2 linked regions of the Schizosaccharomyces pombe genome follow. Changing the gene in region 2 together with the main gene of any one other region gives a genetic interaction. Each region holds a gene or a part of one and is shown on either strand. Other genes may lie near its edges.

Region 1 (4,999 bases), on a different chromosome or scaffold from region 2:
CTGATTCCAACAGATCCACGCCCACTACACTGTTCTACTCTACACACTTTGCGTGCTTGTCTGCTGTTACGATACCATCTACCAGCACATCCTTCCCTCGCCCCCTTTCTCAGCTACGGAACATCCCTCTACAACAAAGGACCCTTGAAATAGGACAACAACATCACCCAAAAAAGAAGGAAAAGAAAAAGAAAAAAAGATTCAAAAGAAAAAAATTACATTCCTAAAACTGATGGTGTGACACTATGGTTTTATATTATGACACATGCAATTTCAGTCGAGAAAGTTAGTCGAATCGTAAAAAAGTCAGTCGAGTAAATTTAAACGAGTAAATCAATTGAATATTGTGATTTTTTTTTTCGTCTATGTTTTTACAAAATAAAGGAAATTAAAAAAATTAAAATAAAAATGAAAATGAAAAATAAATTAAATAGTAAAAGCAAAAATACCGCGAGACCCTTACAAACTTGATGGAGGTCATTTTAGACGGTTTCGGTTGCTGCAGGCAATTCATTCACTTAACAAGTAAAATCTCCTTTCTTTCTCCGAAGGTGCTGCGAAGCCTTCCACTGCTGCTAAACACCTGATGAAATTCGGCAGTAAATGTAGACACTTCGTTATCCCAGCTTTTTTTAAAAAAAATTAATAAATGGTAGCCTTGCAGAATCCGGTTTAACGAGGCGATTTTGGCATGCATTATAATTGCTTTTCACACATGTTTTCCCATATCGTTTTCTTTCTCCAAGGCAAAATAGAGCGATGGATAGAATACATGCTATACATACGATATAGTCTATAGTCCATTTTGCATCTACAGATCCCTAGCGCACTACTCTGTTTTGTACAACCAAAAGTCCATCTTGCATCCATACAATCTTATTTACCACTTTTAATTTTTCATCCTTCTTTACCATTTTTTATTTCCATCCTTCTCTACCGCTTCTAATCCCTCTCCCATCCTTCTACTTTCGTTACCGTTTTGATGCGCTAACGATAAATAATACAACATTAGATTTTCTTTAACCTTCTTTCCATTCTCCTCAACACTTTAAATGGCCCACTTTAATAATTTTGCTTGCCCGGTTTTCCTGCTATTCCATTTGCTTGCCGTTACAATGTATCCGCATGTTTGCTCCTACTATCGCCGCATTGCGTTCCATTCCATTTTGCTATCGCAATTGCTCTGAAATCGGCTGCGTGCTAATTTTTGGACGCAAAGCTGCGATCATGGAATCTAGCTTCAAACTCTGGTATAAACCTTTTTTTAAACGCTTAAAAAACAACCAAAGTTAGTGCGCTCTCAAGCTTAAAGTTACGGATTTCCCCAAATCCGATATCTATTTACCGAGCGCAATAGTTTGTAAATTTAAAAAAAATAAATAATAAATAATAAATAAATAAAAAATTACACAAACCTTGAATTTGATCCAAACAACCTTTGCATCCTTTGTCGATCAAATTCCCATTCCTTCATTTCTTTTAAAAAAAAATTTTTTTTTCTAGAGCCGTTCCTTTCTCAATTCATTTTCGGGCATATTTATTTTGCTTCCTCTCTTCCTTCCTTTCTTTGTTTACACAAAAAACCATGATATTCCAATTGATCTTGCATGCTCATTTCTCACTACACCCTAATAATCCCTTTCCTTCATTCACTCTATCCTAAATTAAAAATTGCCCTTGCATCTTTTTTGTTTATCCAAAATTATTTAAAATTAGTGCATCAAAATCTTTTCTCGCAATTGCATTCCATCACATTACGTTTTATTTTGCTAATTTTTTTTCGACATCGCTCACTCCAATACTCAATATTTATTTACCATATTTTACGCATTACATCCTTAATGTTTTAATGTCATTGAGTTTATTCTGTTATCTGCTAATACCGATTTTACTACCTTTCTCCCTGTTTTCCATAAAACATATTCCCAACAGTGTCTTTAAATGACGTAGGGTCATTTCCTAGTAATTCATTATGTTCAGCACCTAGTCTCACGGTACCCTTTCTTCTACATTATACCGTTCTTCTTCAATTGATTCATGCTTTGATCTTTTGTTAATACCCAGTATTTATTTTTAATGATCTTATTTGAATTATAAAATTTTCTTTTCGTTTGCTTCATGTTTTGTTTTTTTCCTATCCAAAAATGTCTATCCCAGAGGAATCTGAAATAAATAAGGATTACACTGTTCAAGAAGGTAGGATGATTTGCTGTTAATTTTTATTACATAGTAATTTTACAAAACCAATTATTAACATTTTTCCTTTTTAAAATTTATAGATCTTGACGAATTCGCAAAATATACTTGTGTTTATAAAAAACGCCATGATGAAAAAATTGAGTACATCACTGCTCAACATGATTGGAATCCAGTCTATGAGGCCGTAGTCCCTCGCAAGTCAAAACCGGGTAAAGATGAAAAACGAGAGGGCTTTATGTATCCCATTCTACGTTGGCCCTTGATGTTTACTGCTTTCCTATGTCTAACCTTTGTCGCGTATGTTTATCTGTTACCCTTTACTTTATTTATCCATTTGTATTTGCTAACATCATCAACTTGCAGCTTTCTTTATCTTTTGGACCGTTTGTATATTAACTGTTATGAGTACTTTATTGTTTGGAGAGGCGAAGCTCGCAGACTTCGTAAACTCTTGCAAGAAGCAAAAACTTATGAAGAATGGAAGGAAAGAGCCAGAGCTTTGGACAAATATTTTGGTAATGACGAGTGGAAATTGGACCCTGTTTACGATTATTATGACTACACGCTCGTACAAGCTGTTTACAGCAGTTTGGTAAAACATCGAGAACAGAAAGATTGGAATGCCCTCAAATCTGTACTTGATGTTTGTGTGAGAAGTAATTTTGGTGGAATCGACAGCTCAATGCTATATTCGCGAACCTATAGCGGTACCAAAAAATTGGTGGAAGACTATGTTAATGAATTAAAGGTTTGTCTAGAAACCGTTATAGATCAACGTTTATATACGGCACAGGAAAGATCAAAGATGTTTGAATACTTTTCCCATAATTATGGAAGAACGGCCCTTTGCCTATCAGGTGGTGCTTCCTTTGCCATTTATCACACGGGAGTGTTGAGAGCTCTTCTCAACCAGGATTTGATTCCCAATGTCATTACTGGAACTAGTGGTGGCGGTCTTCTTGCAGCACTAGTTTGCACCCGCACCAACGAAGAGTTAAAGCAGCTTTTAGTTCCTGAACTTGCTTCCAAGTATCAATCAGATATCGGCAATTGGCTAGATGCTACGAAGCGGTACTTCAGGACGGGAGCTAGATTTGACGAAATTTTATGGGCAAAAACTTGCATGTATTTTACTCGTGGAAGCTTGACTTTTGCTGAAGCTTATAAAAGAACTGGTCGTATTCTGAATATCTCAGTTATTCCTAGTGATGTCCACTCTCCTCCTAAATTGATCAACTACCTCACATCCCCTGACACTGTAATTTGGAGTGCTGTTATTGCTAGTTGTGCCGTCCCTGGTATTTTAAATCCTATTCCCTTGATGACTCGAAGTCAGTCGCACAGGCTTATCCCTCACAATTTTGGAAACCGCTTCAAGGATGGAAGTCTTCGTACGGATATTCCTTTAAGTGAGTTACGTACTCAATTCAATGTCCATTTCTCCATCGTCAGTCAAACGAATCCTCATGTTCAAGTGTTCTTCTTTTCGCCTAGAGGTACAGTAGGTCGTCCAGTATCACACCGTAAGGGCCGTGGGTGGAGAGGCGGATACGTTGGAAGTGCCATCGAACAGTTTTTGAAGTATGATATGATTAAGTGGCTACATGTTATCCGTAGTTTAGAATTACTTCCAAGACCCCTTGGTACGGATTGGAGTAGTGTTTTTTTGCAAAAGTTTGATGGCACTATTACAATATGGGTAAGATTATATATAGCAAATGAAAATTTACAACAAGCTAACATTTTAGCCTAAAACAAAATTTCAGGACTTTTATTATATTCTCTCTCCTCCCAGTGTTGAACGACTTGGTTATATGATAGATGCGGGACAGGCTGCAACTTTTCCTAAATTAGATTTTATTGCTGCGAGAATGACTATTGAAAAGCTGATTGAAAAAGGTCGCATGATGGATAAGCCTAGTAAATTGGGTAGATCTATTGATGGTACTATCGGTACATCCATGAGTCGTGGTGACATTGAAATAAGCCAAGAGTCGGCTAGCATTTCTCCGGAAGATATTGACATTGTAAATTAAAATTTACTTGTTTAGCGCCTTTAAATAGTAAACTTTATACCTATTTTAACAAAGTGACATAGAAGTGTGCAGGTGACAAAATTATACTCAATTGAAAGAGATATATCATTATTAAAAATTACTTTGTTTGTTTGTGCTTATGTACATATAATTAATGTATTAAAAAAATTTCAGCTTAAGCGAATACTTTCGTCATTCTGTATCAAAAATATGTAGCAATTCTCGACCATTATTCATTATGTCTATTGTAGTGCATTAATCATAAACTCTTTTACTGCTCGCTCGCATTCATCAACCACAGAGTTTCTATTCCATTCGGACTTCGTATTCCAAATGATCTGGTACAAAAATGAATGAAGATGTAAAAGCTGGTCAACGGTGAAGCCTGTTGTTGAATCAATAAGCAACTGCTTCAATGGAGTAAGTCTGTCCTCATCAAACACCAAATCAGGGAATACCACCTCTTGTTCGATATTCTCAATATGACCATCAGCGGATGTAATATTATGGGCATCAGTAGGAGCATTATTAGGAACATCAGCAGGAGACGTGATGAGGGTGTCAACAGGGATATCAGCACGGCCATTAGAAGAGATATTCGTAGAGACATCAGTAGAAACACGTAATGCGGCTTCTGATGGAACGCCTACTGGACTCTTCCCATTTAACAATGGAGATTGTACTTTGTCTTTTTGATCAATATATTCGTCAGGCTTGGGAGACTCTTCATTCTCAACTAACATGGAAGGAACAGACATAGTAGA
Region 2 (4,507 bases):
ATTTACTTCTATCTTTAAGGACTTTTGATGTTTTGTGCCACGTTTGTTTTGTTTTAAGATACTCGAATGCTTATTGATTCATTGTACTATTGCCTTAAAGCGTTGAGCAACGAATGCCTATTTGATTTAGTGCAATGCAAGTGACGTTTGTAGCACTGATTTTGCAATTCACCAATATTGGCTTCAGTTTTTTGTGCTGGTGTAATGGACCGACTTTATGTTTGGATGGGATATGATGATCTCAGTTGAAGCTATTTATTTTGATGTTTTTCCAGGCAATTAGCCTGCTCTGATGTATTTCCACTCCATTTTATTTATATATTCTGTTTTTTTATGGTTATGTTAAACCCCAAGTCATTTCTTCTTCATGTTGAACAGACAAAAGAGCATTGTTTGTTGAAACTGTGCAACAACTAGATACATATATCCGCTAATAATCATTGAATTTCCTTGTATCTATAATTAATGGTGGTTTCATTCGTAATTGGTTGGTAAATTATTTTGTTGAATAAATAATAATGTAAAATGATAAAAGAATCTATCAGTATATAAGACATATTACAAATTATAAATATTAGTCTAAATTTTTCAAAATCACACACTTAGCGTAAATGTTCGTCCTTAATCATCGCGGTCCTAAGCACAGGCTCCCAAAAAGTAATAGTTACCATATTCAATCCACATTAACAGGTAAGCTTTCGAAAATCTTCTTTATAAGCTATAAGAAATTTGTGCCAAACAGTTAACTCATTAGCATGACAGTCAATAAATATTATAATTAGCATCGGCGATAGATAAAAAGACAAGAAAAGTCAAAAGAGTTTTGTTTTTAAGAGTTTTTAGCTCTTTGTAAAAGTGGTAAATACTACATAATTCTTTCCCACCCAGGAATAATATTTGTTTGCAACGACGAAGGATCATTATCTCCCTGAACATTTTCAACATGATTTTCACGAAGGAATTGTACAGATGAACGAGTATTAATGCGTAAAGCTTCATAAGGGTCTGCTTCAAATTTTCCTTTCAATACCCTTAGTACCATGCGAGGGAGCAAAATCGGTAAATCGCTTTGGTTAGCATGTACTGTTCCATCATAAACAAACACGTGGGAATATTTTTTTAAAGGAACGACAGACATTTTCTCATCAGCGGATTCGCCTGCGTTTTGGTTTTCTGAATCCTTGTTTACAAGCCAACTTTCGAGAGCTTGAAAATTGTCGACAAACCGACGAAATTCGTAAGATATAATCATGAGCGTAGGATACCTCATCGTACTCAAATGGAGCTGGCGTACGGGAAGCATCCATATATCGTATAAAATGGAGCACTTAAACTCAGTGTGAAACATATAGTCATTATATAAGGACTTGGTAGAAGAACCGGAAATGAATGCGCAAGTAGCGGCACCAAAAGAATGACCAGCAACAATCAATTCTCCTTGAGCGGTATTCAAATTACCCTTCATGGATTGGAAAACAGAATTATAAAAAGAAGAGTCCACAGAGCAAAGAAAGGGTAAGTTTTCGTCCGGAGTTCCAAGGTCATTGATATTTCGAATCATCTGGAGGGCTATTTGGATTTCCTGCTGTCGAAATAAAAGTCGTTCATTCTGAAGCACAACCGTAGCGTCTGCATAAAAGTCGCTTATCTCGCGATACTGAACAACGTACGGGGGTTCTTCAGGATGTAATGGATCACGCACTGTAGATATGATGGCCGAGTTATCTCTATGCTCCATGGCCAAGACGACGATACCATAGGAAGCGATTGTACCACATAACGAAGAATACACATTTCTCGAGCCAACCAATCCATGGCTGAAGATAAATACTGGCAGTTTCCCATTGTTCGGTGGATGAAACAACTCTCCTTTGTAGACGGGCAAAGCTAAGTTGGTCAAACCAGAAGCGAACGCACGAAGAAGCCACCAACGAAAACCTTTCGCAACTTCGGGTATACCCTCATGGAATGGTAACCAAAGCTCATCGGTGCGAGGCTCTACATCTTTTGTTGGGTCCAATGGATAAAAAATGCGTACTTTTACGGTTCTTAGTTTGTGTTCAATGGTTTTATATTCACATCGAAATTCCTCTGGAACACTCAGCTCTAAGACTAAAGACCCCACAGGCAAGGGACCACAGTAGGCAGGTAATTGCTTTTTCGAAGAAAATCCCAATCCCATTTCTACCTAACAAATAAGAATGTAATGTAGAAATATATAAATTTATTTTATTTTAAAGAATGAAAGATTGTGTCAAAAACGATTCAATCAAATTACAAGAGCACAGTGATGATGTATTGTTAATTGCTATGATCACTGTAGTAGGAATAGAATGGAATAATGCCAGAAACAAAAACAAAATATCTCTTTCGTTAACAAGCACTTATAAACATAAATAAAAAAAATAAAATTAATAAATTTTTGGCCTTGCAAGGTAATATGAATCTGTCTGCTGCAAATTTTAATTTTTGGTACGATTCGTACGATTGTGGTAGAAGAAGGAAGACGATGGAAATTGACGAGCATCTATATATAAAGTAAGGGGTTATGATGAAAGATGTCCTTTTAGCCGGTTCGTTTTTATAATGTACAAATCAAAGCAATTGACTCAATAATCAACTTTTGGCATAGGAAAAGGGTTACTTGCACAGCAATTCGAGCTTAAACCGCTTCCATTTGGAGGTCCATCTCCTCGGTCAAATTACTATCTTTTGAAGGAGCAACAGGCTCGTTTTTCTCATGAGCATTGGCTATTGACGGTGTGAAATCCTGTGATGAGTGAGATGACACAGTTGAAGCAGCGTGAAATGACATTGCGTATTCGTCAAGTTCTTTGTCTAAATCTTCGTGTGAAATTGAATTATTAGAAGACTTTTTTGAAGAAGAACGAAATGATCTGTCGTCTTTTTTTGAAGAACGGTTGAATCCTCGGTTCGAACGAGAAGACCGGCTTGGTTTGCGGGCTGAATGTGGCATGTCGGAAATCCGATCGAATAAGGAAGGTGGAGACTTTTTCGAAATTTGAATTTCGGAGCCCTTCAAGTTCGTAGATTGAAGCGTCTTCTGGGCATCTTCAGCATCTTGGGAAGTTTCAAAGTAAACATCGCAGGAGCCTTCAGAGCGACCTGCACGATCATAGTTCATAATCACGCGAATTGGATGGAAATTTTCAAACAAAGACTTAAGAAAAGGTTAGTTTATTAATAAAAAAAGCGATTCGAAATCGGAACAAAGCTCTACTTAGCTTGACAGGGAGATTTTTTGTCAGGTTCGTTTCATAATCTTCAATCGAAAACTAAAAGCGAGGCTTTTGAAAACATAGTAAACATATATCACTTACCAAAACATCTTTTTCCAAAACCTGATAATGTAAGTTTTCCACACGAACCCCAAATCGATTTTCTGAGCTAAGATTGCTGTGTTAGTATATAATGATAATAACAGTGCATGTAGACTAAGAGCTAATAGAGTAATAAAAAAGTTTACAGCTTATCTTATAAATTCAAAACATACTGTTGTCTTTTCTGTAGGTGAGTGGTCCTTGGATGAGCATCCTGCTCTTGATCCAAGTCATGCTGCCACGGGCCATCGTCTGGACTAGAGTTGTGTTCTTTTGATGCTCTTTTGAATTTGTAGGTCTTAAAAAGTAAAAAATTAGTAAATAAACACTTAATCCTCGAAATTAGCATACCAATCGCGATTTTTTGGAAATACGATTTTGAGATCCCCTTCGCCGACTGTGCTTGTGATCAAAACCATTCTAGGATTGTTAAAACAAATATCGAAAATAAAAAAATTTACCGTTCTTTCATTTATAATTTCGTCCAAGGACTTTTCCAGCGACATTTGAAAATTGGTACTTGGCACGAAAATGTCGACTGGTAAAAATTAACCCGGGGCATTCCAAAAAGGAGATTTCCATACCAATTGCAGATTTTCCTGACATAAATTAATATATGCACCTCTTTTTTTATTGTTTTTTAGCTCTCCTTATTTTTCATTCATCTTGCACTACGGTCCTAGAAAGTGTATCTTTCGCCAACAACCCATCGTCTTTCTGCAATTGCTGTTTTCCTTACATTTAAACAAATTCTTCTAATTACTTTCTTATTCTTAAAATATTCAATATTCTTTAGTTGATTTAAATTTTTGGGTCCATCTACCAATAGTTTGTTAGACTTTGCCTTCAAACATGAATTTTCGTCCAGAGCAGCAATATATACTTGAAAAGCCTGGTATTCTTCTCTCTTTTGAGCAATTGCGCATTAACTTCAAACACATTTTGCGGCACTTGGAGCATGAATCGCATGTGATCAATTCCACATTGACAACGTTGATCAGTCAAGAGAATGCATCAATGGATGAAAAAATAGAAAAAATAGATTCTCTCCTTTCAAGAGTCAGTACTGTAAAGAAGAAGGTAAGTTTGATTGATTCTTTTTTTGAGTTGGATATTTGTAACTTACATGGTTCTTTGTGTAGATGAAGCATTTGCATGATTGTGAA

What was found. Genes that interact genetically often act in the same process or in processes that back each other up.
Region 1: of plg7 (region 2) and ptl2, a mutation in one rescues a mutant of the other (synthetic rescue), as found in Schizosaccharomyces pombe (one study listed by BioGRID).

The regions. Positions count from the first base shown.
Region 1 is NC_003424.3:3,027,469-3,032,467, reverse strand, and holds ptl2 (triacylglycerol lipase), read left to right. Parts: upstream 1-2,008; 5' UTR 2,009-2,144; coding exon 2,145-2,196; intron 2,197-2,279; coding exon 2,280-2,496; exon of another isoform or gene 2,497-2,562; coding exon 2,563-3,898; intron 3,899-3,947; coding exon 3,948-4,235; 3' UTR 4,236-4,462; downstream 4,463-4,999. Other genes in the region: ATPase histone chaperone Abo1, read right to left, coding at 4,478-4,999.
Region 2 is NC_003423.3:398,503-403,009, forward strand, and holds plg7 (1-alkyl-2-acetylglycerophosphocholine esterase), read right to left. Parts: upstream 2,492-4,507; 5' UTR 2,183-2,491; coding exon 866-2,182; 3' UTR 501-865; downstream 1-500. Other genes in the region: cAMP-dependent protein kinase catalytic subunit Pka1, read left to right, coding at 1-28; tho4 (THO complex subunit), read right to left, coding at 2,663-3,181, 3,342-3,408, 3,515-3,639, 3,693-3,761, 3,803-3,847; gid9 (ubiquitin ligase complex subunit), read left to right, coding at 4,194-4,421, 4,484-4,507.